Ovis aries: one gene and its partners. The protein of the gene in region 4 interacts with the protein of the main gene of each other region in a biochemical or structural test. Links are inferred from orthologs where the notes say so. Each region holds a gene or a part of one and is shown on either strand. Other genes may lie near its edges.

What was found.
Region 1: the proteins of LRRK1 (region 4) and STUB1 form a complex in vitro, tested with the Homo sapiens proteins (2 studies listed by BioGRID and IntAct, with this or other methods). The link is inferred for Ovis aries from reciprocal best matches to the Homo sapiens genes LRRK1 and STUB1.
Region 2: the proteins of LRRK1 (region 4) and TCF25 form a complex in vitro, tested with the Homo sapiens proteins (2 studies listed by BioGRID and IntAct, with this or other methods). The link is inferred for Ovis aries from reciprocal best matches to the Homo sapiens genes LRRK1 and TCF25.
Region 3: the proteins of LRRK1 (region 4) and NUDT16L1 form a complex in vitro, tested with the Homo sapiens proteins (2 studies listed by BioGRID and IntAct, with this or other methods). The link is inferred for Ovis aries from reciprocal best matches to the Homo sapiens genes LRRK1 and NUDT16L1.
Region 5: the proteins of LRRK1 (region 4) and ECHS1 form a complex in vitro, tested with the Homo sapiens proteins (2 studies listed by BioGRID and IntAct, with this or other methods). The link is inferred for Ovis aries from reciprocal best matches to the Homo sapiens genes LRRK1 and ECHS1.
Region 6: the proteins of LRRK1 (region 4) and POLR2M form a complex in vitro, tested with the Homo sapiens proteins (2 studies listed by BioGRID and IntAct, with this or other methods). The link is inferred for Ovis aries from reciprocal best matches to the Homo sapiens genes LRRK1 and POLR2M.
Region 7: the proteins of LRRK1 (region 4) and MATK form a complex in vitro, tested with the Homo sapiens proteins (2 studies listed by BioGRID and IntAct, with this or other methods). The link is inferred for Ovis aries from reciprocal best matches to the Homo sapiens genes LRRK1 and MATK.

Annotation. Positions count from the first base shown.
Region 1 is NC_056077.1:1,117,753-1,122,019, reverse strand, and holds STUB1 (E3 ubiquitin-protein ligase CHIP), read right to left. Parts: upstream 2,748-4,267; coding exon 2,589-2,747; exon of another isoform or gene 2,583-2,588; intron 2,098-2,582; coding exon 1,899-2,097; intron 1,813-1,898; coding exon 1,647-1,812; intron 1,606-1,646; exon of another isoform or gene 1,460-1,605; coding exon 1,372-1,459; exon of another isoform or gene 1,227-1,371; coding exon 1,170-1,226; exon of another isoform or gene 1,083-1,169; coding exon 966-1,082; exon of another isoform or gene 890-965; coding exon 764-889; 3' UTR 503-763; downstream 1-502. Other genes in the region: JMJD8 (jmjC domain-containing protein 8), read left to right, coding at 1-68, 152-286, 376-456; uncharacterized protein LOC101103616, read left to right, coding at 2,746-2,876, 3,284-3,377, 3,510-3,669, 3,842-3,994, 4,095-4,258. UniProt on the Homo sapiens protein: E3 ubiquitin-protein ligase which targets misfolded chaperone substrates towards proteasomal degradation.
Region 2 is NC_056067.1:14,244,888-14,248,663, forward strand, and holds the end of TCF25 (ribosome quality control complex subunit TCF25), read left to right. Parts: intron 1-479; coding exon 480-567; intron 568-1,042; coding exon 1,043-1,201; intron 1,202-1,295; coding exon 1,296-1,386; intron 1,387-1,786; coding exon 1,787-1,866; intron 1,867-2,847; coding exon 2,848-2,920; intron 2,921-3,005; coding exon 3,006-3,164; 3' UTR 3,165-3,275; downstream 3,276-3,776. UniProt on the Homo sapiens protein: Component of the ribosome quality control complex (RQC), a ribosome-associated complex that mediates ubiquitination and extraction of incompletely synthesized nascent chains for proteasomal degradation.
Region 3 is NC_056077.1:4,365,111-4,369,121, forward strand, and holds NUDT16L1 (tudor-interacting repair regulator protein), read left to right. Parts: upstream 1-1,184; 5' UTR 1,185-1,196; coding exon 1,197-1,349; intron 1,350-1,431; coding exon 1,432-1,692; coding exon of another isoform or gene 1,693-1,769; intron 1,770-2,395; coding exon 2,396-2,617; 3' UTR 2,618-2,618; intron 2,619-3,429; 3' UTR 3,430-3,706; downstream 3,707-4,011. UniProt on the Homo sapiens protein: Key regulator of TP53BP1 required to stabilize TP53BP1 and regulate its recruitment to chromatin.
Region 4 is NC_056071.1:4,897,942-4,901,498, reverse strand, and holds part of LRRK1 (leucine-rich repeat serine/threonine-protein kinase 1), read left to right. Parts: intron 1-2,771; coding exon 2,772-2,943; intron 2,944-3,557.
Region 5 is NC_056075.1:51,217,349-51,220,469, reverse strand, and holds part of ECHS1 (enoyl-CoA hydratase, mitochondrial), read left to right. Parts: intron 1-1,043; coding exon 1,044-1,148; intron 1,149-1,594; coding exon 1,595-1,899; 3' UTR 1,900-2,739; coding exon of another isoform or gene 2,740-2,807; 3' UTR 2,808-3,121. UniProt on the Homo sapiens protein: Converts unsaturated trans-2-enoyl-CoA species ((2E)-enoyl-CoA) to the corresponding (3S)-3hydroxyacyl-CoA species through addition of a water molecule to the double bond.
Region 6 is NC_056060.1:50,699,570-50,703,817, reverse strand, and holds the start of POLR2M (protein GRINL1A), read left to right. Parts: upstream 1-1,395; 5' UTR 1,396-1,529; coding exon 1,530-1,642; intron 1,643-3,325; coding exon 3,326-3,973; intron 3,974-4,248.
Region 7 is NC_056058.1:17,991,997-17,995,993, forward strand, and holds the start of MATK (megakaryocyte-associated tyrosine-protein kinase), read left to right. Parts: upstream 1-1,192; 5' UTR 1,193-1,319; intron 1,320-1,756; 5' UTR 1,757-1,851; coding exon 1,852-1,857; intron 1,858-2,462; exon of another isoform or gene 2,463-2,544; coding exon 2,545-2,604; intron 2,605-2,982; coding exon 2,983-3,096; intron 3,097-3,183; coding exon 3,184-3,299; intron 3,300-3,387; coding exon 3,388-3,607; intron 3,608-3,997.

The DNA of each region.
Region 1 (4,267 bases), on a different chromosome or scaffold from region 4:
GAGCTGGCTCTGGGGTGCCCTTCCACTGGCATGGACCTGGGTTCTCGGAGGTGATCTATGGCCGCAAGGTCAGCACAGGGTGCAGGCTGAGACTCTGGGTTCACTGACCAAAATACAAAGCATAACTTTGCTGCTCCCCGCCAACCCCCAGCGCTGGTTCCTGTACCCTCCTGAGAAGACACCCGAATTCCACCCCAACAAAACCACACTGGCCTGGCTCCAGGACACATATCCAGCCCTGACACCATCTGCACGGCCCCTGGAATGCACTATCCAGGCTGGTGAGGTCAGTGGCTGGCAGACGGGCCAGGCTGAGCCAGGCCAAGGACCCCCATCCAACCCATCAACCCACATGTCCCCCCAACCCCTCGCCAGGTGCTGTATTTCCCGGACCGATGGTGGCATGCCACACTCAACCTCGACACCAGCGTCTTCATCTCTACCTTCCTCGGCTAGCCAAAGGGGGTGGCTGGCAAGCCCACCGCACACCAGCACACATCCCTGCAGTACTCACAGGTTTTATTACAGGGACAGAGGTGGTGGCAGCAGCCTCAGCCCAGCCCAGCCTCACCCCCCCTTTCCGGCCCAGAAGGAGGATGAGAGGCGTGTTGCCCAGCAGAACTGATGGGGGTGGGGGTGGGGACACCAGGGTAGGGATCCAGGGACACAAACTATATACAGAAAACTAGGGGCTGCTGCCCCAAGGCCCTCCTGAACTAGGGTACCGGGCAAGGCAGGTGGGTGGCCCATACACCCACCCTGCTCAGTAATCCTCTACCCAGCCATTCTCAGAGATGAAGGCATCGATGACCTCTTTCATGGCCAGGTTGGGGATGAGCTGTTCCTGGGTCAGGGGGCTCCGAGTCACAGGGTCAAAGTGGCCCACGCGCTGCAGTGACAACAGGGCAGAGTCAGGGGCTGCTCAGTGCGCGTGGGCCCTGCTGCCAGCGCCCACAGACCCTCACCTGCAGGTGCTCCTCGATGTCCTTACGGTCGTATGTGATGCCACTGGGCGTGATGCAGGGCTCCCGCATCAGCTCAAAGCTGATCTTGCCGCACAGGTAGTCAGGGATGTCTCGCTTCTGCAGCACACAGGGTTGGATCAGGTCAGGGGCTGGGAAGGGACACTGCTCTAGCTACCCACCGGCCCCAGAAGACGGGCAGCTCACCTTTCTCTTCTCGTCTACCTGGGAGAAGAGCTCGTCCATGTCTGCCAAGTACTTGTCCTGCAAAGAACCAAGCAGCCACTTGTGGGCCTGACACCCCTCTCCCCTCCCCAGACACCGAGACACAGACCCAGCAGGAGCCAGGGCACCTCACATCACAGCGCACGCACACACAGGACCCACACTCGGGCTGGGGCACCCTCACATGCTTGGCCTCAATGCAGGCCTGCTGGGCCCGTACGTGGCTGTCGTCCTCGTCACCCTCGTGGTTCCGCTGACACTCTTCCAGTTCCCTGGGGGTTGACCAAAAGGTGTTCAGAGATGGGTCTGGCCAGGGGCAGTCAGACTCCACTCCAGACTTAGGATCATTCAGGCCCCTTTCCCTCCATCTCCTGCGTGCCAGAATTGGCCTTCAATAAACACTTGTGTTCACACCTCAGAGTTAACCTAAGAGTGGTGACTCGAAGAGGGGGAGCCCACCTCTCACGCTCAGCCACAATGAGCCGTGTGAGGTAAGAGTGCAACTCATTTTCCTGGTGGATGCGTCGCTCCTCGATGCTGTTCCAGCGCTTCTTCTTTGCGATGCGCAGAGCACTGGGGATGTCATCCCCAAAGTTGAGCCGCTGCTCCTTGGCCAGGTTGTAGGCTGGGGGATAGAGCATTTGGGTAAACTTCAACCAGTCCACCCACCTGGTCCCAGGCACCCTGGAACCAGCTAGCCTGTAAGCCCACCTCGCTGCAGGTTGGCAATAGCCTCATCATAGCTTTCCATCTCCAGCTGGCATTGCCCCAGGAAGAAGTGTGCCTTCACAGACTGCCCGTCCAGCTCCAGGGCGCGCCGACAGTCGGCCAGGGCTTGCTCGTGCTGCTGCATCTTCAGGTAGCACAGTGCCCGGTTGGTGTAATACACGGCCACCAAGGGGTTCCGGGTCTGGGGACCAAGGCCGGGCCAGCCAGCATGAGGGAGTGAGCTCAGCCTGCCCACTCCGTCCCAACTTGAGGCCCGCGGTTGGAACCAAGACACTAGCATTTTCTCAGCTTCCAAGCCCCTGGGTTCTGAGGGAGGGTGAAGCCTACGTGAGCCCACTCTCTGGACTCCAATGAGTCTTGTGAAGGTAGTTTTCCCGGACTCATGGAAATCCCCAGCATCGCGTTTGACTCCTCAAGGGGCAGGGATGCCTGGTCCCCAGCCCAGTGGGCCTCGAACACCTACGGTTCCCACCCAGCACAGTTCTCTGGCAGCCCGCACTGGCTCGGGAAAGGCGCGGCCTTGGCCCCAGACCCCAAGCACCCACCCCCTCCCTCCGAAAGTCTGGCGGGCACGGCCTGACATGTTCTGAAGAGGGCGCGCGGCAGAAGCCGCAGCTCGGCCCCTCCCCTGGCTCGGACGCCAAGCCCCTCCCGCAGCGCGGGCGCACTCACGATGGCGCGGCCGTAGCAGGCCGCTGCCTCCGGGTACTTGCGGCCCACGAAGAGCCGGTTGCCCTGCTCCTTGAGCTCCTGTGCGCTCGGGCTCTTCTCGGGGCTGCCGCCGCCGGCGCCCAGCCGTGCGCCGCCCTCCTTCTCCTCCTTGCCCTTCATGGCGCCGCACGGCACCGCCTGGGCTCCGCTCCCAGGCTCCGCGCCCAGCCCGCCCTGCGCCCGCAGCCCGAGCCCGCGATCCGCTCGGGCTCGGTCCAGCGCTCCGCCACCGGAACTTCCGGTCTGCAGGTAGGCGGGGCCAGCGGAGCGGACCGCCGCACGGGTGGGCGGGGCCGTGCGTGCCCCCGGCGCGCTGTGGGGGCGGGGCCGGCAGGGAGGGGGACTCTGGCAACGCGACGCGGCGTCAAGGTTTGCGACGCGCTGGGTCACCCGGGCAGACGCCCGCCCGGCCGCGCTCCGACGCCCCGCCCCCGAGGCCTCGCCTGGCGCGGGGAGATGGCCGCGGCTGGCGGGCTCTGGAGCTGTGAGGACCCAAGCCGCTGGGCCGCCGTCTTGGAGTGCCGCGGGGCGGTGCTGCGGGCGCGCGCGGGCCCCCAGGGGCGGCTGGAAGCGCTGGACCGGTGGTAGGGCGGAGGGGGCAGGGGCGGGCGGGCCGAGCCCCGTGGCCCGGACTCCGTAGCGCCGCCTTCCCCCAGGTACCGAGAGGAGCTGCCCGCGGCCATCGGGGCCCGCGCGGAGAAGCACGTGACACTAGACGAGCTGCAGCGGCTGCTGGCGTGGAAACTGGCGGTAAGGCTTCCCACTTGGGGCGCGGCACAGCCACGTGGGTGGGGCTTCCCAGGGGGCTCACCCTCGTGGCAGTCTTGAGGGGCCTCCCAGCGAGGGCCGCCACCCGTGACACCCGACCCGACCTGGCCACAGAGGGGCCGCTTCCGACCGCGCCTGCAGCAACTCGTGGCCGCCAACTCTCCGGAGCTGGTGGTGCAGCGTTCGGCCGCCGCCTTCCGCCTCCTGCCAGACATGCACGCAGCGGTCATGGCTCTGTGCGCCCTCCGTGGCGTGGGCCCGGCTACCGCCTCGGGTTAGTCGGGAAAGCTGGACCACCCCCGGGCAGGGTCGCTGGCGGAACCTGGCCTGTTAGTGTCCTTATCCATGAAATGGTCCGACGGCCAGATACATGATACAGGAGAGTCGCTGGGGACAGCAGCCCCAGGCCCAGGCGGGGCTGAGTGCTGTCCATTCACTGCCCACAGCGGTACTGGCTGCCGGAGCTCCTGAGGCGGCAGCCTTCATGTCTGAGGAGGCAGTGGCCGCAGTGCCCGGCCTGCCCGCCCTGCAGTACACTGTCAAGCACTACCTGCTCTACCTGAGCCGGGTGCAGGAGCGTGCAACAGCCCTGAGCCAAGGTGCGGAGACCACGGGCGGCCCGGGTGGTCACGGAGAGCTCTCTCTGACCGTAGGAAGATCGGTATCTCCGAGCCCCAGACTCTCTCTGCCCTTCTCTAGGCAGTGCATCTGGGCTGTGGACCCCACACCACGTGGAGACGGCCCTGTGGACCTGGGCTGTAGGGCGGAAGATGTGCCCGGACCTGCTGCCCAACCTGGGTCCCAACCTGGTCCCCGCTGAGGACACCAGGCCAGCCAAGAAGCGCAGGACCCAGGCTGAGTGATTTGGCTGC
Region 2 (3,776 bases), on a different chromosome or scaffold from region 4:
GTGAGGAGCTCGGGGTCGGGGTCGCCCTGGGTTCTCTCTGATGACCTGCCGGTTTCCATGGGCCCCTGAAGTCTGGCTGTGTGGATGGGAACAGGGCCCGCTGCCCTATCAGGCCCTGGTGGTGTTGCGGTCCTGTGCTGTGTGTAGTTCCTGAGGGGCTCCCTCCCCGGTGCGAGCCTGCCTGCAGGTGGCCTGGTTGCTCAGGGTCTCCTGCTCATCTCGATCTGGCTCCATCCACGCATGGGGCTGCTGGGCTGGGTCTGAGGGGAACTGACCTTGCCCCGTTGAGACCCCTGCACAGGGAGGTCACCCGCTTCATGGGGAAGCCCCATGGGGCAGGTGGGCAGCTGTAGTGTTGTCCATCCCAGGGAGAGTGCGGGGGGAGGGTCTCTGATGACAGCGTCCAGCGCACGTGCTCCAGAGTCCTGGGTGAGCCCCTCGGCCTCAGCGCTTCAGGGTGCCGCCCTGCTCCCCCACAGTGCTCATGCCCCTGCTCGAGTACTGCAGTGTGCGCCCCGACGCCACCGTGGCCACGCACCACTTCTTCGGACCTGACGCCGAGATCAGGTACAGACTGGAGGTGCCTGGGGCCTGGGGAGCAACCACCTAGGTGTCAGCCTGGGGCCACTGCAGCGTGTCTGCTGGGCGGATAGTGTTGCTGTAGCTGTGCATCTGGTCCGGATGCCTGTGTTGCCACCTGCTACCTTTTGAAATTTCTCATAATAAATGAAGAAAGACCTGTGACGGGAGCCAGGCACCTCAAGGCTGGTCAGCACACCAAGGCGGGTCCTCAGGTCTATGTCCACAGGTGTACACGTTCTCCGAGTGTTTATGTTGTCATTGGGGAACTTGTTCTTAGTAAGGGTGCTGGCTGTACAGAAGGAAATGCCAGGGTGCCCTGCCCTGGGGGCCGCATCCCAGGGCAGCAGCCCCCTCGGGGTAGCCTCCTTCTGCTCTAGGTTGCCAACAGCCTGGGACCCCCAGAGCACCAGTGGGCCTGTGGAGCCGGTCCATGGGGTCTCACAGTCCCCGCTGCCCACAGCCAGCCACCTGCTCTGAGCCAGCTAGTGAGCCTGTACCTAGGGAGGTCACACTTCCTCTGGAAGGAGCCGGCCACCATGAGCTGGCTGGAGGAGAACGTGCACAAGGTTCTGCAGGCGGTGGACGCCGGGGACCCCGCTGTGGAGGCGTGTGAGAGCAGGTGAGCCAGGGCGTGGGAGTGGGCAGTGTGGAGGGCCGGCCTGTCTCGCGGGGCCGCGGCCTCCTGCAGCGCCACCCTCATCTCCCGGCCCCAGGCGCAAGGTGCTGTACCAGCGCGCGCCCAGGAACATCCACCGGCACGTGGTCCTGTCTGAGATCAAGGAGGCCGTGGCTGCCCTGCCGCCGGTAAGGAGCAGGCTGACTGCAGGCTCTGTCCCTCCAGCAGCTCTGCCCCCCGGTCATGGTCCATGCAGAGCCCCCTGAGAGGCAGAGCCATGCCTGCAGCTTCCGTGATCTTATGGGGTGCAGAGTGGTAACCTGGCGGCTCAGGGCCCATGGCCTGTAGCCAGCAGCCCTGACATTTGGGGGGAGTCACAGCACCTGTGAGCAGAGGCCCTGTGATCCCCACACATGTGCTTGTCCCGGCTTCACCCCGATCCTCAGAGCAGACAGGCTGAGTGTCCTGGTGGAGGAAGCCCCTGCCCCAGACTTCCCCGACAGGGAATGCGGCCCGCCCCCAGCAGAAATGTCCAGTCCAGAGCTAGGTCAGTTGAAAGCAGACCATGCTCTTTGTCCCTTCCCGTAGGATGTGACCACACAGTCTGTGTTGGGCTTCGACCCTCTACCCCCACTGGACACCATCTACTCCTACGTCAGACCAGAGAGGTACTTCTTGCTTTGCTTTTGGGCTTGCACTGCTCCGAGGTCAGTGCTGGGGCTCGGAGGGTCTCAGAAAAAAGAGTCAGCCTCTGCAGGCCGTGTGTTTTCACATATCTGTCCACCCAAGGCCATTTCTCTGTCAGATTCTGGAGCAGGTGGTGGATACAATGGGATGTGGGTATTGAATCCAGGAGTAAATGTAGTCAGAACTGATGTAAGAACCTGGAGGAGATAGCCGTGAGCCTGGGGTATGAGAGGCAGCTGGTTTCCCATGGGAGCTTCAACCCGTGCAGGCCCCAGGGACAAGTGTCCAGCACAGCCAGAGGCTGGGAAGGAGGCCCCAAGGCCCGATTATCCAGGCTGCTCCAGAATCATGTCAGAGACAGGCTTTTTTCCCTTTCCTGATGGCCTTTAGCACTGAGTGAGTAAGTGCTTCACTTCACGCAGAGCCCACCTCACAGTCCCCAGCCTAGGAGACCCAGACAGACTTTCTCATGTCCAGGGCTCAGGCGGACGTATTTTCTAGAGCCAAGTGTTTTTTTCCTCCATTGAGGTATAAAACTTCGGGTACACATTCATAAGGAAATACAGTCCCCAGTTAAAATGTCAGTGGGTTAAGATGAAAATTATTAATGATTAGTATCAGAAGGCTCAAAACCAAGCTGGCATGTAGGGTGTGGTCCCACTAAGGACAGTTGGGAGCCATCCTGGTTCCAGGCGCCCAGAAAGTGCAGGAGGCCCCCGAGATGCACTTGCTAGCATCATCTCTCACTGCACAACTCGGAGGGAAGGACACTTGGAAACATAGCTTTTCTCAAGATGCAGTGGGGCTCGGCTGCAGTGCCCCACTTTGCACTCTGCTCAACCAGCCTCATTCCAAAGGGCCAACCCCACTCTAGATCCCCTTCCCCCTCAGGCCCCAGCCTCCATGGGGGCTGCCCTCCCAGCCCACCGGGCCTTTCTGAACATCCTGACTCCCTCCTGCAGGCTCAGCCCCGTCAGCCACGGAAACACCATCGCCCTTTTCTTCCGCTCACTGCTGCCCAACTACACTGTGGAGGTATGTGGCGTCAGCCCACGGGGCACCAGCCTGAGATTGGGCATTGGGCCTGGAGGCCCGGCTCAGACGAGTCTCGTTTCCACAGGGGGAGCGACCAGAGGATGGGGGGCCTGGGGGTCTGCACCGTGACCAGGGCCTGAACAGACTGATGCTGGCCGTGCGGGACATGATGGCCAACTTCCACTTCCACGACCTGGAGGTGCTGCCCGAGGAGCACCCTGAGGGCGATGGGGAGTGGGACTGACTCCAGCGAGGCGCACGCCCCAGCGCTGCACAGTCGTGCTCCGGGTTCTGTTCTGGTCGGATCGGCCAGGTCGCCACCTGCTCTGCTCTTCTATAAACTATGTGGGTTGCACTCTGCCGCGTGAACTCTTCTTTCCCAGGGCTGCAGTCGCCGCCCCCAGCTCCCCTCATGGGCAGGACCTCGCCGCCACTGCCCTGCTGCCCCAGGGCATCACAGGGCCAGAGTGCACGCTGGCTTCAGGGGACGCGGGTGGGTGTGGAAGCCGAGAGATGTGTCTTGGGAAGATTGCTCATCCTGGCAGCTCTGGGGAGTGAACGAGGCAGAGACTAGGGGGCACTTGATCTGGGGGCAAATGGACTGAGGGGTGGAGAGGGCGAAGACTAAGATGCTTCATCCAGGATGCGTCCTAGCACTCTTGAGTGACAGCTCAGAACCACACAGGCCACCCATGACTGAGGACGCTGTGTGGTGGTGGAAGGATCCAGGCCACTGAGGTTGTGAGTCCCACTGGGTACTCTTGTCTACTGAGCACCCTCCCAGCCCTGACCTCTGCCCACAGAGGCTGCCAGGGCAGATGCTCCAGGGCAGCGTCTGGGCCCCAGGCTGGTCAGT
Region 3 (4,011 bases), on a different chromosome or scaffold from region 4:
AACACTGGGCAATGAATAGTCTGAGGAGACACTCCTGCTGACAAAGCAAGAGACTTTACTGGGAAGGGACACCTGGGCGGAGAGCAGGAGGGTAAGGGAAGACCAGGATGGACTGCTCTGCCTTGAGGCTCACAGTCTCCGTTTTACGGTGATGGGATTAGGTTCCAGGTTGTCTTTGGCCAATTGTTCTGACTCAGGGTCCTTCCTGGTAGCACAGGCCTTGTTCAGCCAAGATGGATGCCAGTGAGATGGATTCTGAGAGGTGGTTGGACATGTGGTGTCACTTTTTGACCTTTCCCGAACTCTCCCAGTTGGTGGTGGCTTATTAGTTTCCTGTTCCTTACCAGGACCTCCTGTCCTAAAACAACTCCTGCAAACAGGAACTATGGTGCCTGGCCAGGGTGGGCAGTTTCAGTGTGCTTACCCTACCAAGCTGGGAAGCTCCCTGCCCGGGGACTTCAATCACTTCTGCCCCAGCAGGCGGGGCTTAGGGAGCCCCAGGGCTCCTCAGCATGCACCCCCACCCAGTTCAGCGCTAAGAGTGGACTGGGACTATGGCCCCCGCTGTCCTGCTCTTCTAGAGGCAGGCCGACGGCAGCAACCTTGGATTCCAGTGCTCAGCCGGTGGCAGAACGATGGGGCTGGCATGCCTGCAGGGGAGGATTCGCCCTGTGATGCCAGGGCTCAGCTGAGGCCCCAGAGGCCGGCGCTGGTCGAGCCTGGAGCTGGCGGCGGGAGCCCCGCCGGGCGGCGCTGCCAGGGGCGCTGGGGGAAGCCCCGGCGCAAAGTGATCTTGAGACTTCTTCCCTCTTGGGGCGGGCAGGCTGAGCCTGGACTCCACGGGCGCCGCCCCCGCGCCGGGGACCGGGAGTCCGCGCTCCACTCGGGTGCGCTCGGGCCGTCGGGCCTCCGGGCCTCCGGGACCCTTGGTCCGCTCGGGCCGTGGGCGGGGCACGCTCTGGGCGCGCGGCTATTGGGCGGTGGCTGGGGCGCGCGCCGCCGCGCCCCCGCGCACGCTCCTTGCGCCTCGCAACGATGCGCCGGGGCGCCGCTACGGCTGTGCCGCGACGCGCGCCGGCGATTGGTGGAGGGGCGGGGGCCGGGGCGCGGCTGCCCGCGGATTGGCCGCGCCGAGCGGGGGTGGGCCGCGCACGCACTTAAGGGGCGGCGTCCGGGCCGCGGGTGCTGGTGCCAAGATGTCGGCGGCGGCGGTGCCGGAGCTGAAGCGGATCAGTCGGGTGGAAGCGATGCGCCTGGGCCCCGGCTGGAGCCACTCGTGCCACGCTATGCTGTACGCCGCGAACCCGGGTCAGCTCTTCGGCCGCATCCCCATGCGCTTCTCGGTGCTGGTGAGGACGCGGGCGTGCGGGCGGCCGGGGAACGGGGCACCGCCGCTCGGACCCGCGCCCGTGACCCGGCGCTCCGTTGCAGATGCAGATGCGCTTCGACGGGCTGCTGGGCTTCCCCGGGGGCTTCGTGGACCGGCGCTTCTGGTCGCTGGAGGACGGACTGAACCGGGTGCTGGGCCTGGGCCTGGGCTGCCTCCGCCTCACGGAGGCTGACTACTTGAGCTCGCACCTGACCGAGGGCCCGCACCGCGTCGTGGCGCACCTGTACGCGCGGCAGCTGACGCTGGAGCAGCTGCACGCCGTGGAGATCAGCGCGGTGCACTCGCGGGACCACGGCCTGGAGGTGGGGCCGCCGCCCGGGCCCCGGGCCCCGCCCCCCGCCCCGGGGTTTGGCTCTGGCCCCGCGGAAGGCACCGATGGGTAACACGTCCCCCTGAGGGTTCCCTGGCCGGGCTGGGAGGGTCACGCTGTCTCAGCTTCGGGGTGGGGAGAGGGACCAGGGGCCGGGCAGGGTGGGAGGCGGGCCGGGGCGCCCTCGGGGCTGTGTTCCATCTGCCTTGCTGCCTGCCATTGCCAATCCTGGGAGTGGGGGCGTGGGATCGGTGGGAGGCTGGGAAGGGGCGGTGCCTGCCCCGGGGGGTGTGAACTGCAGAGTACAGAAGTCTGGGTTCTCGTGGTGGGGGCGCGACGGTTCTTTCTAGTTGTGGGTTTCATCGCCTAGAAGGCCTGGGGGTGACACGGGGTGTTTGGGATTCATCAGGTGGAAGAGGGAGCATGGGGTCTGGACTGGGGGCTTCGCCAGGGACTGAGGGCTAGGACTTGGGGGCGGGGTACGTGCATGGGGGCAGGGGTTGAAACTCGCTGGGGGAAAGGAGGAGCTGTATTTTCCCGAGGGAGCCGGTTGCCCCCCACCCCCGCCAGGGCCTCACATTATGTCCTGGTTCAACCTGGCTGCCTTACCCCCAGCCTAGTGGCTCATCAGCCCCTCCTGCAACGGCCCTGCCGTCCCCAGGGCCCTGGTTCCAACCCTCATCCCCTGTCCGCAGGTACTGGGACTCGTCCGTGTCCCTCTGTACACCCAGAAGGACCGAGTCGGGGGCTTTCCCAACTTCCTGAGCAACGCCTTCATCAGCACAGCCAAGTACCAGCTCCTGTTCGCCCTCAAGGTGCTCAACATGATGCCGGAGGAGAAGCTGGCTGAGGCCCTGGCTGCCGCCACGGAGAAGCAGAAGAAAGCCCTGGAGAAGCTGCTCCCGTCTTCCTCCTGAGGTGCCTCCTGTACCCTTTTGCCCCTGCCCCCCTTCCCCAGTTCTGTCTGCCTGTGGGCTGTGTTCCTGCAGGCCTGTCTTCTAGCATGTGCTACGTTTGCCCCACCTGACTGGGGGAGTGGGCACCTTGTCATTTCCAGTGCCCTGAGCAGTTACTGGGGGGTGGCCTGGGCACACCCATGCTGAGGCACATTCCACACATCTCACTGTGGACTGGAGGGGGCGGGGGGCCCAGGGGCTGTCTGACGCCTGTTGGTGCACGCACAGGGCCCTGGAGAAGCTGGTTGGTTCTCAGGGCAGTTTTATTCTTGAGGAGGCCCACCACTGGGTTGAGTCTTTCCTGCATCTTGCCCTGAGCCAGCCCCAGCCTGAGCTAGGTGTGACACTGTGAATTTTGGTTGTTAGCTTTACTTGCGGGTACCTCCTTGGGTTTGGTCCCTGTGGACAGGCAGGGCCATGGGGCCCAGGTGTAGATGCAGCTGCTGGAGGGACAGGGAAGCTGTGTGTTCTTCGGTCCTGGCTATAGGCCTGGGGTAGACGCAGGTGTCCTTTCCCTGCTTCCCAGGGACTGAGGGCTGGGGCTGAGCCTGATTGGTGCTCTGGGCCCTTGAGATTGGAGCCCAGGCCGCCTGCCCCTCCCAGGCAGGGTGCGGCCACCTCCCTGTGGGTACTGTGGCCCTGCCCGCTGTGGACACTGGGCCATGAGCCTGATCCGGTGGTTTCTCCATGGAGAGTGACAGGCCTTCCGCCCCTCTCCTGGTCTGGGTGGCTCTGCTCTGGCCTGCTTTGAGAGCCTCCCCCTCTGTTGGCAGCACCCTCCGCGGGCACCCCCAGGAGACGGTCTGGCAGCACCGGCTGAGTGTGCAGTGAGAGTGGAGCCGCCGGGTCAGGAGGGTCGCCACTGGCGGTCTCCTAGGTATGAAAAGACTTCTCAGTGATGCTGAGGTTTCCGTGGTACCAGCCTGGCTGGTAAGGACAGCAGGTTCCTGCCCCAGCCTGGGCACCCGCCTTGGAGCCTTGGTGCAGCGCTGGCACGTGTGGGCAGGAGCACTGGCTCTGTAATAAAACACCTGAACCTTGTTCCTCTTATTTTCTGGGGCGTGCTTCACTTGCTAGGTAGCTTTGTCGGGAGGGGCTCTGTGCACAGGTGGTCCTGCCACAGGGCCAGGGATGGGGCAGCAGAGGTCACCTGTCTCTGCGCTTGTTACGTGGCAGATGGCCCTGCCCTCCCCAGCGCCGCCCTCCCCTTGCTGTGCCTCATCAGCCAGGACCGCAGGCCAGCACTGAGCCCGCACCACCGGAGTGCAGGTTTTATTTTCCCACAAATGGCCTACGCGGCTTAGGGGCCCCAGGCCTCCCCACTTGGGCGAGCCTCCGCGGGGCATGGGCACGCT
Region 4 (3,557 bases):
AAAAATGGAGTAGGTACAAAAGTGTGCATGCTAACTATCCAGCCCAGTTTCAAAATGCAGGGAGGGCAGGGACTCGAGGGGCATGTGGGTTCAGTCTAACGGCACTCTGGCTTGGTTCTCAGGGCCTCCTTTCTCTACTTCAGTCTCAGCTGTTTCCTGGGTCTGATGCTGATGTTGGCCATGAGGCAGTGGCCAGGATGCCAAATCCCCAGACCCTTTTGATGCCTGTCATAGAACACAGCACCACCCGGCCCCTCAACCCCAGAGCTCTGGGGGAACACCCTCGGGACCCTCCGGGGGCTGGCCTGGCCACTCTATGGCCAGCCAAACAATTCCATCAGCACAGTCTGGGTCTCTTGGGAGCCAACTCTGGGCCATCGCTTCCTGAGCTCCCACCCATATATCCACTTGGCCTAATGACTGTGGGAGGGGCCTCAGTCCTTCCTGCTTCAGCCCCATGGGGACCAAGAGTGAGTCCTAAAAAGAGAAACCCCAAAGGGGAATTCAGAATCCACATGACCCCTCCCATCCTGGCCCAGGTGTGTCCTTGACTTTGGCCCCTGGTAAAGCAGCCTGTGAGTTTACAGCATTGCCGGAATTTGACAGTTTTCTGATTATTCTATCAGCAGGTTAGAGGAATGCGGAAATACTCTCACTCTGTAAAAGCAACTGCCTCTTTTTTTCCTCATATGTAAAATAGAAATAATACTATCACTTACTAGTATTATAGTCAATGTGAGGATTAAATCAGAGGGTACGTGTGAACTATGAAACGTATCTCCTGCACCTTTGAGCTTCAGGGACATCCAGGATCATCAATGCTGTTATTGTTACTATCTTTGCGTTAAGTACTCATAGTCAGTGGTGTCTAGTTCCATCTAAAGTCAGGAGTGTCTGAGCACTATACCTACCTCTAAGTGTAGATATAATGGGTCCCTTGTACCCCAGAGACAAGGAGTTTCAGCTCTTTGCACCATAAGCTTTTATATGATCAACAAAAACAAAGGCATTTGCTGCTCCTTTCAACCTGCAGTCCCTGGGAAAACCTTCAGGGCCTTTCTAAACCTCTCTCTACACTTTCGAGTGTTTGTACTTCTTCCAGGCGGGGATGCACTGGCTCTCAGCACTCGGGGAAGGCTCTGGCCCAACTGCTAAGACAGCCTCAGGGACGTATCATGGACTGGCTCCGCCGTAGTGCAAACCCCGTGCAGTGCCCAGGTCTTCATGGCTTTCTAGTCAGCAGGCACGTGAAGAACTCCCCTCTTAGTTCCCCAAGCCCACACCTTTGGCAGCCCTGCCCTGTTAGTGGTCGCTCTAAAGCCAGTGCTGGTGGTTTCGCCCAGGGCTCTGCTCACATTGAGAGGGGCTTCCTTTGCCCATCAGTTTAAACCTCTTCACTTGCCATTCTGGCTTTTAAGTCATCCGTACCTTCAAAAATATTGAACACCTGCTGTGTGTGCCACGTGCTGGGGCACCTGGGTACAGAGTGTGCCCCCTCCCTCGGGCACGCTGGCCAGATGGAAAAAATTGGGAAGTCCCAGGGCACAGCCACGGAGGGGGTCCCATGTGCCCAAGCTGAGCATGGCATAGGCAGAAGAAGCAGGCTAGATCTCACTGGGCACTGACAAGGGCCTCCTGTTTGAGGTCAGAGAGATAAAGGACTTCTCAGAACTAAAAGGCATGTGCCAGAGAATTCCTGGCTGTGGAGAGAGGCACTCCAGCTGGGCTCATTGGCAAGGTCCTTTGGGCCAAGACCTATAATGGCTGAAAAGGACCGAAACGCCACCATCTGTCCCCTTGGACCTCACCTACACAGCCACTGTCCGTTCTTCTCTAACCCTGCAAGGCTGGCATCCCCACTCTTCTGCCATTAAGGAAGCAGAATGGCAATGAGATTAGGCCGTGTGCTGAAGACACCCTGGGGACTCCACCCCCAGGCTGTCTTTGAATTTTCCTTCCATAGTGTTTTCAGGGGTTTCTTTCAGAAAGTCCTAAAAACATTTTATAGGACCTACACTAATGGAATTTTAAAGGATTAAGAGAACTGAAAGCAAGCCTTTAAGGACACACCCAAGGCTCTGCCCAAGGCCATCTTAGCTCCTCCAGGACACACAGAAGATGCTGGTTTTCAGGGAATTATTGGAGGGACCTCCCTCGTTTCAGCTTATTAAAAGTGATCACAGTCATGAACAGCTCACTGACACTGCAGTTCAGTCCTTTTATGAGTAAGACTGCTCTTATAAAACATCATTCTTTTGCACAAAGAGCCTCATTCGAAATTTCAAGGTAATTGTGTTATCTCAACTGGCCAAGAACAATAAATAGCTTCTCAGGCCAAAGACATTTCTCTGACCCCCGATATCTTGTCCTTGGAACTGTGCAGCTGTATTTGTTTTTCCTTCACCATCCGAAGTTAATTTTAAGTAACTCCCCAATCGCAACCCGGTTTACAGAGAACCGACTGTGATTTGTTGTGTCTGTGTTTATGACCACAGATGTTTTCACGTCTTCCCTCGCCGTGTTCTAGTCTCTATCTTAGAGACTTCGACAAACTGATTCGCTATGCCCATCTTCGTTTTCTCTTGGAGTATTTATGCTCACCATATAAACTACCCCCTCTTTCTAAAAATGGTTCCAAAGGCCCTGGGAGGAAGGCATCGGGCAACCTGCGCTGCTTTGGCAGATCCCGCCCCAGGCCAGACTGCCTGCAGGGGTGAGAGCCCCAGAGCAGAGCTCAGGCCTTGGCTCAGCAGCCCTCTTTGGTGTTTCAGCTACCTCCTGCCGCATCTGCTTCCGTCCAAACCCGGCCTGGACACCCACGGCATGCGGCACCCCACAGCCAACACCATTCAGAGAGTGTTTAAGATGAGCTTCGTTCCGGTTGGCTTCTGGCAGAGGTTTATAGCACGGATGCTGATCAGCTTGGCTGAGATGGACCTCCAGGTAGTTGCGTTTTCTGCATAGGGCACTATTTGCTTGCAGGCCAAGCCCCTGCGGCTATGCCCTGGTGGGAGTGGGGGGAGGGAGACACCCTTTGCTGGAGGAGCCTGACTGAAGACCCTTTCCTGCAGCAGAACTGCTGGCTTAGGGTCCGGACACTGGGACAGCGTGGCTGCCTCCTCTCCTGTGGGCCACAGACCCGCTTGAGTCATTCTGTGAATGCCAGATCAGCACCTAGCTGTCTTGGACAGACTATCCCATGAGGAGCAGTGGTTTCAGTCTTACCAACGTCCACATTCCCTGGCTCTGTGGCTGTGGACCGGGACTCAGAGTCTGCTTATCCAGACACTGACCTTGAATATGCTGTTGCTCAGGGATAATGCCCAGAAGAACCATGGTTTTGCCATTCAGGCTGTGACTGAACTCCCCTGGGGAGCTCTTAATAGACACAGACCAACAAGTCAGAATCTGTGGGTATGGCACACAGGGATCATATTTTTTAAAGCTCTCCAGGTGATTGATTTCACTGTCCAGTCAAGCTTGAGAACCACTGGCATAGAACTTTAACTTGGTTTGGGAGGAGTAAAGACCTAATGGAAGGAGTTCTTTTCTGTGGG
Region 5 (3,121 bases), on a different chromosome or scaffold from region 4:
AGCCTGGCTGCGCTACCTTCCCCGTGGGGTGGGCGGGGCCTGGGGGCCTGGGGCCCTGCCAGCCCCTCTGGACTGGCCGCACGCTGGCTTCCGGCCGCAGTGACTCTTGCTGCTGAGCGTCCGGGGTGGGTCCTTGTAGGTCAGCAGCTTGGAGAAGGAAACACGGAGACCACGGGCCAGCACCGAGGGCTCCTGTTCCAGTGGCCAGAGCGAGACCCGTGGCCTCAGCAGGTTCAGAGCAGGGAAGCACATCCCCCGCGGGAGGGCGACAGGAGCGGCAGGCCAAAAGTGATGCCTCTGCCCCTCGGCCCACCTGACGAGAGCTACAGGCTGTGTCCCCACAAAGTCTCTACCTCAAGTGTAGAGCCGGGAGCCCAGCGTCTCTCCCAGGCCAGCAGGCCAGGGAGTGGGCAGGGTGGGGTCAGCTGAGGGGACCGCCAGGCTCTCCCTGTCCCAGTGCCCAAGGTCCCCACCGTGCTGAGGCAGTGCTCGAGTCTGCTGGGCCGTTGGTGCCTCCCTCATGTGGCCACTCGCCTCGCCCTGGCAGCCCTGGGGTTCACTGTGGGCAGGTGAACGGGCAGACCGGTCTTTCCAGTCAGAGGCTGTTGAGTGGGCGGGGGCAGGGCCCGTGGAGGCCAAGTCCACGTAGGGCTAGACACCCGAAGAGCCTGGGAGAGGAGCACATCCCCAGGCCCGTGAGGCAGGAGCCTTGCCCCCGTCCCACTCTGCGAGCAGAGCCAGTTGTGATCGGAGGCTGCCCCCAGCTGCCCCCCAGGGTGGGTCAGATCAAGGTCTGCGAGCTCCAGGCATCCATCCAGAGTCTGACTCCTGCACGAGAGGCGCTGGTACAAGGGCCCCAGGGCACGAGGCAGAGGCCTGAGTGAGTGTGGGAAGGAGGTTCCCTTGTGATATCTGGGTTTCTCCCAGTTCTGCCCACCCCCAGCCGAGTGCTGTAGGTCTTCAGGCCCTAGACACTTGCCAGCAGCCTGTCTGTGGCTTCTTGGCCACAGCGCGGCATGCCCAGCAGCCCTCTGCCCCTGCAGGTGCAGGGGGCACCCAGAGACTGACCCGTGCCGTTGGAAAGTCACTGGCCATGGAGATGGTCCTCACTGGTGACCGGATCTCAGCCCAGGATGCCAAGCAAGCAGGTATAGGCTGGGGCCACCCCATGGAGTTGCCCCCTTGGGAGCTGAGTGGAGAGGGGAGGGCCTCACCCAGGGACTCCCACAGTGATTAGCACAGAGCCTTCTGGCGTCCTGCGAGTCCAGGATACTCACTGCCTGTGTCTGTTTGAAATACCACCACGCACAGCAGAGTGGCTCAGATGTCCACGTGGATTAAAGACTAACAGTGAGACCGTCGCACTTCTCAGAACCTACGTGAACGGTGGGGGGTCTCCAAGACCCTGCAGGCAGGCCCGCTCCGGGCCCCTCAGTGACCTTTGGCTGTAAGAGCCCCGTAACCTCGACAGCCAAGGGTGGCAGCCCCACCAGGGCTCGCTGAGGACCCTTGCCTGTGTCTGGTGGAGGCCTGCGCTGTGACAGAGAACTAGGACCGGCTGTTTCCACATGCTGCTTACCTTTTTGTGTTGTAGGTCTTGTAAGCAAAGTTTTTCCTGTTGAGACAGTGGTTGAAGAAGCCATCCAATGTGCAGAAAAAATTGCCAGCAACTCTAAGATTGTAACAGCGATGGCCAAAGAGTCGGTGAACGCAGGTAGGGGGGAGGGGAGGGAGGGGAGGCCGCACGGGGCAGTCGCAAGACTTGACAGTTGGGGTCTGAACTGTGCGTCTCGATTGATCTGGACAGAAATTGTTAGGGTTCTCAGTATTTCGATTTTGGCTCTTTGTTGCGTTCTAGTCTCTAGCTGCTTGCTCACAAATTCTGTTGAACTGGTCTGAGCTCCCCTTGGAAGCAGGACCTGAGAACTGGGCCAGCCTGGGGGCCAGTGCTGGCGAGCAAGGGGCAAGGGTCCCCTGCAGAACCTGGGAGGAAGAAGTTCCTCTCTGCTGCAGCTGCGCCTGACTGTCCAGGGGTGAGCCAGGGGCACCTCTGCCCTCCTGGCTGAGGGTCTGGGCTCAGCAGCCACTCTTGACCAGCAGAGCAGCTCTGACCACCCCTCTTGAGAATCGCTTACATGTTAACACGGTGATTTCGTCTCAGCATTGGAGTGAGGCTGTCCCTTTGCTTGTTCCGCTTGTGAGGGCAGTGAGTGTACCTGGAGGGCCACACTGCCCCAACCCTGGCTCTGCTCCCTGGGCTCACCCGTAAGTGCATGGAGCGTGTGGTGAGGCCCGGGGCACCTGTCACCGCCTGGCGCTGGTCACGGGACCTGGCTGCAGATGCTGCTGCAAAATCTTCCATGAGCCTCGCGCCCGCTCGCCTCTGCTGCAGACTTAACCTGGGCCTCGCTCCGTTCTGCCCACACCTCCGTTTTCGGTGTCGTCCGTACTTATTTGTCGTGCTTCTAGAGTCCACATTCCTGGGCTTCCTCAGCCCCCTTGTGACTGGACAGTTTTCCATCCCACCTTCCACGCCGGTCCCCACACAGGACACAGGGGAGCCCGGGAGCAGCTGTTCACTGGGCTGCAGCCGAGGCGACACCCTGGAGAGGGAGGCTACACTTTAATCCCATGACATCAGAGTGCACGTCGGTCCCCAGGCTGATTCCTGCCTCTGGAGAAAGTGCTGCACTCCCAAGTCTGTGTCTCAGCTCCTCACTGCAGGGTTTCCTTTTTCAGCTTTTGAAATGACATTAGCAGAGGGCGTTAAATTGGAGAAGAAGCTCTTCTACTCAACTTTTGCCACCGTGAGTAGCCTCGTTCATGCGGGAAATCACATGGTCCAGCCGTGAAAGTTCTGGAATTTGCTTGTAGATTTTATCACCATTTCTCTCTGGTCAGAGCTCATAGCCTCTCTGTAGCTGGGCAGTGACATTTGCAAATAAATGGGGCTTCCCTGGTGGCTCAGACCATAAAGAATCCACTGCAGTGCGGGAGACCTGGGTTCAGTCCCTGAGTCAGTAATATCCCCTGGAGAGGGGAATGGCAGCCCACTCCAGTATTCTTGCCTGGAGAATCCCAGGGACAGAGGAGCCTGGCAGGCTACAGTCCGTGGGGTCAC
Region 6 (4,248 bases), on a different chromosome or scaffold from region 4:
TGACAAGGGCCTTTCTTGAGTATTTCTCACTTAGAAAGCTATGGAGCAGGTTACTGAAATCCTTGTTTCAAAGCAGAGTTTATGTTGAGACTTTTGATATGTTAAACTGATCAGAATGGACTAGATTGTAAGGATACAGACACAGTTTCAGCTGTACTTCCTGAAATAGCCTCATATTTTATCTAGAGCTTCCCTCTGATTGGGAGGGAATTGTTTGTTACAGCACCTTACAAAGGACTAGCAAATGTAAATTTTCCGTATCAAAGAAGGGAGAGACTGGGGTTGGAGGTTATAGGGTCTTTCAAACCTCACAACTGATGTCTGTTAAGACTATAGCATGCTTCCTACTTTTTTCTTTGGGATCCAGCTTTCTTACCTGAACTATAGAGAAGAGTTAGGTGTTACACTGAAGAGTTAGCAGTTACACTGCTTTCCTCAACAGCCTAAAAAACTTTCTTGCTCTTTGCAAGATTTTTGAATTGGGGTGGCAGAAAGACCACCTGGGCATTTGTGTCTACAGCAATGATGTTCTCACTTACTAGTTTTGTGCCCTGGGAAAACTTCAGTTTTTGTGCCTTTGTTTTTCCAAGGGCAAAACGGGTAATTGTGAAAAAGAGGTTCTCCGTTTGTTGTGCAGCACCTCCTACTATCATCACCTCTTGTGGGCCTTTGAAATCGTGTGTGTGTGTGTGTGTGTGTGTGTGTGTGTGTTGGGGAGATGCATTTTGTACTGTTACAAGGACTCAGGAGTGTGTGTGTTGGGGCGGCGGGGGGCGGGGGTGCGTTTTGTATTTTTAGGAGGATTCAGGAATGCCAAACCAACTAGAGAGCAGAAACCCAGACATCAAATAGACACCAAATATCTTGCAATACCTGAGGCAGTCCTGAAAACGAGGAAAAGTCTTGCTTCAAATGCCACAAAGCCGCCTTAAGAAACGCTGATGGTTCTGAATGATCCTCCAACATTAATGTTTGAGGTCTTCACTAAACCCAGAACTAGCAAGGCCACGCCATAGGCCAGGGCTTCACGTGCCCGGTACATACTCCAGCTTCACTAATGGTTAACCAATTCATCACTCCTGTTTCCACGTGTCTTTCACTTCTTCGTTATTCCTTCCTTGGTGCCCATAGCCGTCTTACAATTCTTCCATTTGTTAATTGATTAATGTCTGCTCTCCTCCCTCACTCAGCAGACTCCTTCAGGACAGGGCCCCAGGAACTCACTTTTTCTGAATACTTAAGCCAAGACCCAAGGCACAGGAAGAATAAGCAACTAGAAAGCGCGCCCCGCCGGCGCGTGACGTCACCCCGCGATTCCCGCCCCGGCCGCCACTCCCTCAACTCTGTCCGTGTTTATTTCCGGCGTTTCAATAAAGCTCGATTCGGCTAGAAGAAGACTTGTTCTTCCGGGAAAATGGCGACTCCCGCTCGTTCGCCGGAGTCCCCGCCGGCCGCGGATCTGGCGCCAGCCACGGGGGCTGCCGAGGACGCCGAGTGCCCACCGCCTCGCCAGCCTCAGCCCCCGCAGAATGTCCTCGCTTCCCCGCGGCTTCGAGCCCCAAACTCCCGAGGACTTGGGGCAGCGGAGTTTGGCGGAGCTACGGGAAATGTTGAAGCGCCAGGAGAGACTTTTGCGCAACGTGTAAGCTTGGGTCCCGCGAAGTCACCGCAGGGTTCCTCGCGTTGGGAACCCTGGGACGGGCCCCTCCCCGCCCCCATCCCGATCTCTTTCCTGGAAGGTCACCTTGTCTTAGGTCCGTTCCAGGCCCACGGGCTAGTGGCCGGCCTACAGTCACAGAGCTACCGCGTACAGCCCGGGCGCCGGGCGCCCGTGTTTCTGGCTCTCCAGCGTTTCAGCTCCTCTTTGATTTTACTTACTCAGTGCCTGTGTCGGCCCTCCAAGGGGAGGGTCTGTATCCCCAGTCCTTTCGCTCCCTTTCCGCCAAATAGTGCCCCAAACACCTAGTAAGTTTCATCTCTAGATCCCATTTTTTTACAGGAACTGTAGGAAGTGGGAAGAGTAGGGTAAAAGAGTGGCTTCTTAGGCAAAGTAAGTTTGGTTCACACTTAGCTGTTAGACTTAATGGATTTTAGCAGAGAATAGGTGTAAAAATAATGATTTTTTTAGGAAGCTTATTTTAGCAGTTTGGTGCAGGAAAATTTGAAGGAATAAGAGGCAGAAGAGACTAGGAGGTATTTTCAGAGAAGTTCTCCAATAAGGGGATTCTAAAAAAGTGAACTAGAAGGGTAGCTGTGGGATTGGGGAGACTAGATCAGGCTTAGGATCATTTGAGTATATGGTTGACAGAGATGGCTGAAGTTTCCAACCTGTATGGAGCACCATTAATAAAAGTAGGAAAACTGGAGGAGGGTAATAGTCTGACACTGATTTTACTTACTGGAGCTTAGTTAATGGAAAAGTTAATTACATTTGATTGAAAGCTGGAGAAGTGGTCATGAGGCTGGAGAGAGAAGAGAACGTTGGGAAAATACAGACCTCTCAACTGGGAGGAATGTTAATAGAATTAGGAGAATGAATGTAGTGTCATAAAGAATAGAGGGTGTGAGCTGTAACCTTCCCTCCACATTTATTGTATGGCTAAAGAAAAGGAAATCAGAAAAAGAACTTTTGCCACTTAGCCAAAGTGGCAAATGATCACTTGGGGATTTCCTGGTAGAGACAACTATTTTGACTGTGAGAATGAGTGAGTTAACTTTTTAGCCTCAGGACCGCTTTAACTCTGAAGACTTACTGAACATTTTGAAGAGCTCTTGCTGTATGTGTGTTATATCGACTGATAGTTATCATTGTCTTAGGAGTTACAAGTGAGAATCTTTAAAACACAAGAACACAAAAACGCATTCTATTAGCCATCAGAACAATGCTATCATCCATATCATGTTGCCTCTGGAAAACTCCCCTGTACTCATGGTAAGAAAAGAGAGTGAAAATGACAAATAGTACCTTAGTTATTATAAATAGTTCTGACCTTGCAGATCCATCCACCTCCCCTCACCAGGAAGGTCTTGGAAATCACACTTTAAAAACTGATTTGGGGCATGTCTTATATTAATATCATGCTTAAAATACTTCTGCAGAAATTCTAATTGTTAATAGATGAGACAAACAAGACATAGTCCCTAATCATCCTGTAGTCCCTTGTTTTGAGGGGTATTTGGGTAATGATTCTCTTATTTCCGGCAGCTGGAAATCAGTTTTTTGACTTAACGGTCGATTTTTCTCCCTTTGAGAATACTACTTTGTATATCTCAAGTTTAAAAACATGGCTCTATGTAACGTATACCTATTCTTTTCCTTTTGTAGAAAATTCATTTGCAAATTGCCCGACAAAGGTAAAAAGATCTCAGACGCTGTCACCAAACTGAAAGCTGCCATTGCAGAACGTGAAGAAGTTAGAGGAAGAAGTGAACTCTTTTATCCTGTTAGCTTAGACTGTAAGGAGAGGCAAAAAGCGATTGCAGTTGTTGATGGGGGCAGAGATAAGGCCCAGAATTCTGACCAGATACTTGATACTTCATCACCTGTTCCTGGCTGTTCGTCTGTAGCTAACATCACATCATCTCAGACAACCTCACGACAACAGGGACTGGAACATCTGACTCGCGGAGGTGATGCTGAGGCAACTGAGGCTGAACACACAGTGAGCAAGCACCCACCTTCTAGCAGCAGAGCCCCAGCACCTTCCTCATCTGAAGCTAGTGAGGGTCTCCCTCAGCATTGTGCCTTAGGTCAAGTGGAGGATCATCCTGGCAGCTCAGACAACCTGTTCATTGATAGATTGCAAAGGATCACAATTGCGGATCCCACTGAACACCACTCAGAAGGAAACCAGAGTCCTGAGAACTTGGCCGGCCTCTGGAGTAGGCCCCAGAAGAAGCCTCATTACATGGAAGTGCTGGAAACGCGAGCCAAAAATCCCATGCCCCCGCCACATAAATTTAAAACCAATGTGTAAGTACCATCAGAAACAGGCTTGTTACAGGAGCATGATATTTGTTAAACTCCCAAAACTGGGAGACTGCATTAAGTTCAGTGGACTTGGTATGAGAACTGCTTGTACTTGGGAATGAGCGTATTGTAGAAGCAGTAAAACGAACATGGCTGGAGTGGAGGATTCTGGCTGGAAAATGCTTTCTTTTTTTAGCCAAGTAATTGAAAAGGTTTTCAGTAGCAGATGGGACATTAAACTTCAGGATACTTAGGCAAAATTTTATATAAAACATAGA
Region 7 (3,997 bases), on a different chromosome or scaffold from region 4:
TAAGTGGTGGTTGTTTCTGACAACTAGAGACTTTAGCATTTTCTTATACACAGTTTCCTAGTTTTTGGTGCATAATATTGCACGATATTGAATATCTTTAATTCTTGTCTTGCACTTAGCTGCTCGTCGTATCCAACTCTTTGCCACCCCATGAACTGTAGCCCATCAGGCTCCTCTGTCCGTGGGATTTTTCAGGCAAGAATACTGGAGGGGGTTGCTATTTCTTCCTCCAGGGAATCTTCCTGACCCAGGTATTGAACCCACTTCTCCTGTGTCTCCCGCTTTGCAGGCAGATTATTTATCCTCTGAGCCACTGGGGAAGCCCCTGATTCTTCTCATTGGTCTCTATTCCCAGAAATCACACGACATCTTGGTGCACAGACACTTAGACTTTGGGGGTACCAGAAAATTAAATTCTGGGCATCTTGGTGCATCACCCTCCCAAGGTCAGCTTCATCCTTGTCCTCACAGACTCATTCATTCATCCATTAGAAAGTATTTGAAGTGAGCTCACAGAGGAAAGGCAAGGGCTGGGCCCCCAGGCCTTCAGATGCTCACGGAACTCCCTTCTGAGCTGGAAGCTGGTGCTGCCTGACCCTACAGAGGAGGAAACCGAGGCTCGAGCTGGGTTGGCCTTGGGGAGGCCCAGTGTTGCTCTGCCAGGAGGCTTCCAGTTCCAGGTGATGTTTTCCCCTTTAGTCTCAATTCTCCCTTAATTTCAAGGATGATGATAATATTCATGGTGGTTGACATTTTGAGGGCTTTCTTTGTGCCAGGCACCAACAGCTCTTTCCTAGGGCCAGGTACTGAAATAAGACTCTTGTTATAGTTGGCTAAGGGCGTTGGAGTCAGAAGGGTCCACTGAGTTGTCTGGACTCTGAGACTTACTTACCTGCCCAGACGGGAAGCTCTCTCCTTCCCCTCCCTGTGCCAGCGCTGTCCTCTCTCCGGGAGGCGTGGATTCCCGGAACGCGCGGGTTGCGCGCCCCGCGGCGCCAGGCCGGGAAGTGGCGTGGATCTCGACAGCGCCGCGCGGGAGGCGCCGGGGGCCCCGGAGGCGGGGCGGGGAGGGGCCGCCGGTGGCGGCGGCGCGCGGAGCAGACCGCAGTGCGGCCGGCGCTAGGACCCGCGGGGGCCGCTCAAGCTGCCGCGCCTCCCGCTCCCCCCACCCCGATTCCAGCCCTTCCCCCCCAAAATGAGGAAACGCAGCAACTTGCTCCAAGTTGTGCAGCCGGGGCCGCCTCGGGGTGCGCAGCCGGCGCGCGGGGGCCCTCCTGGGGGCGGACACGGAGTGCGGCCCAGGGGCGACCCCTGAACAGGTGAGGGCGCCGGAGGGGATAGTGGGGAAAGACCGTAGGACAGTGGGGGGGGCCCCAAGGGCCAGCGGGTAGGGGGATGCTGGGCGAACGAGGGAGGGGCCAGTGTGCGAGCGCCCGCGTCCGGGGCGTGCGGCCGGTACGCGGCTGGGGCGGGTATGGTTGGATGCGCCCAGGAGTCGGGTGGGGTGGTATTTTTGTGGGTGCGGGTATGCGCGTCTGCAACCCCTGGGTGTGTGTATCCGCGCGTCCACGTGGAGGGATGTGCGCGCGTGTCTCTGCGCTGCGTGTGCGCGGCCCTGCGTGTAGCCCTGCGTGCCCGGGTGGCCCAGCGTGTGGCGCCCAGGTGTTCAAGTGTGGGTTGGGGGGGGCGGCACACACGTTTCCGAATGTCTGTGCGTGTGTTCACACGTGAGACGTGTGTGCACAACTGTCTCTAGGAGAAACTGCTTTTGCTTGCATACCCGCGTGCCTGTGTCCACCTGTGTCCAAGCCCTGTGTGTTTCTGTGTGTTCTCGTGTGTACATGGATCAGTATGCGTGTGAGTACACAGAGGGCTGGGGATTTCTAGGGTGGAGACTCACTCCTCCCCACCTGTCCCACTGCTCTCGCCACCTGGTGGGATCCGTGGGGAAAGCAGAGGACAGAAATGCCCCCACCCCAGCAACTGTGCGGGACTTTGTTTCTGTCCTCTGTCCTCGGTTGGGGAGTAGGGGGGAGCGGTGTGGGGGGGAGTCAGATCAGAGACCCAGCCGGCAGCCAGAGGAGCCCAGCAGGGCGGCACTGCCGGGCCTCACCCCCGCCAGGGTCAGAGATTCTTGGGAATGACCTTGAATCATCCTCTGTTTCCTCATGTACCCCTGCCTACTTTACCAGAAAAGAGGAAGAACCAGGCTCCGTTTAGTGGCTCCAAGCGCCCCCAGTGTGGGCTGCTGGGGCCTGAGCCAGCCCCTGGCCACTCACTCTGAGCCTGCCCTGTGCCTCTGTTTCCCTTTGGGGATGACGGCGCAGCCAGGCTCCATGCTAAGGAACTCTCCCAGGGAAAGACCACCTCCCCTAAGGGGCTTGGGGATCCAGCCCTTGGGCCCCCCACAACCCCTGGGGGTTTGGGGGAGCCCGCCCGACTGTCGCCTCCACCTGGTCCAGGCTGGAAGCTATAGTCATGGCCCCTGGGCCCCCAGCCTGGCTTGAATCTTGAGCTCTCCAGCTGGTCTCTGCCCCTCCCCAGGGAAGCCCTCGCTTCCTCCACGCCTGGCACCCCTCACCCATCTCAGCCAGGATGCCGACAGTGAGTACTCCCAACTGGGTGCCTGGGCCTAGGCCCCTCCTCTCCTCCGTCCACAGGGCCTCAGCTCCACGGGGCTGGAGGGTGGGGGTGGGGGGCCATCTGACCCGTGTCCCCTTAGGCAGTGTCCGCAGGTCTTTTTCGGTCACTTGGTGTTTTTTCCCACTCTTTCCTCCCATCTTCTGCCCCGGGGGGTCCCTCTGTTTGTGACTCCGTTTCCCCTACTGGGTGCTCTGCGCACCCCCCACCCCCATCTCCTTTCTCCTGTGGTCTGTTCTGGGTCTCTGCCTCAATACAGTTTTTCTCTCTCTTTTGGGCCCCACCCCCCACCTCCACCATCTCTCTCATGACCCTTTTCCCACTCTCGCCACTACCCCCCAGAGGCGCTGGGCCCCTGGCACCCAGTGCATCACCAAGTGTGAGCACACGCGCCCCAAACCCGGGGAGCTGGCCTTCTGCAAGGGCGACGTGGTCACCATCCTTGAGGCCTGCGAAGTGAGTAGGGGGGAATGTGCTTGGAGAGAGGGGGGTGCTCCTCCAGGAAACATCTCCTCCCACTGACCCCTGGCTCCCTCCCGGCAGAACAAGAGCTGGTACCGTGCCAAGCACCACGCCAGCGGGCAGGAGGGGCTGCTGGCGGCTGGGGCGCTGCGGGAGCGCGAGGCCCTCTCGGCGGACCCCAAGCTCAGCCTCATGCCGTATGTCGTGGGGAAGCGCCCCTGGGACGTGGGTGGGGTCAGCAGGGCCCGGCCAGTCCCACCCAGCCCGCCCTTCCACCGGCCGCAGGTGGTTCCACGGGAAGATCTCGGGCCAGGAGGCGGTGCAGCAGCTGCAGCCGCCCGAGGACGGGCTGTTCTTGGTGCGGGAGTCCGCGCGGCACCCGGGTGACTACGTGCTGTGCGTGAGCTTCGGCAGCGACGTCATCCACTACCGCGTGCTGCACCGCGACGGCCGCCTGACCATCGACGAGGAGGCCTGCTTCTGCAACCTCATGGCTATGGTGGAGGTGCGGCCGCCCAGGCCTCCGGTGTAGAGATGTTGGCGGCCAGGCTTCAGCCTGTCCCAGCAGCTGGGGAGACATGGGACCCCCCCAGAGGCTCATGCTCCCCAGTGTGGACAAGGAGGCGCTGGTCCCTGGACCACCGACCACAGTTCCCCCACTCCGACCCATCTCCAGGGATACCCAGGAACCTCCAGTTTGACACCAGTCCCAAGACACACACCCCCATCCTCCTGTTTCCATGGAAACCAGCCTAGAGAGTCCTGTGGGAACCCACCCCCTCTCTTCCTCTTCAGCGCCCGCCCACCCCTCTGGAGAACCCCCTGGGAAGGGGATGGGAGGCAGGGGCTCCCCGGATGTGGGGGGTCACACTCACGGCTGCCTCTGCCCTGCCCC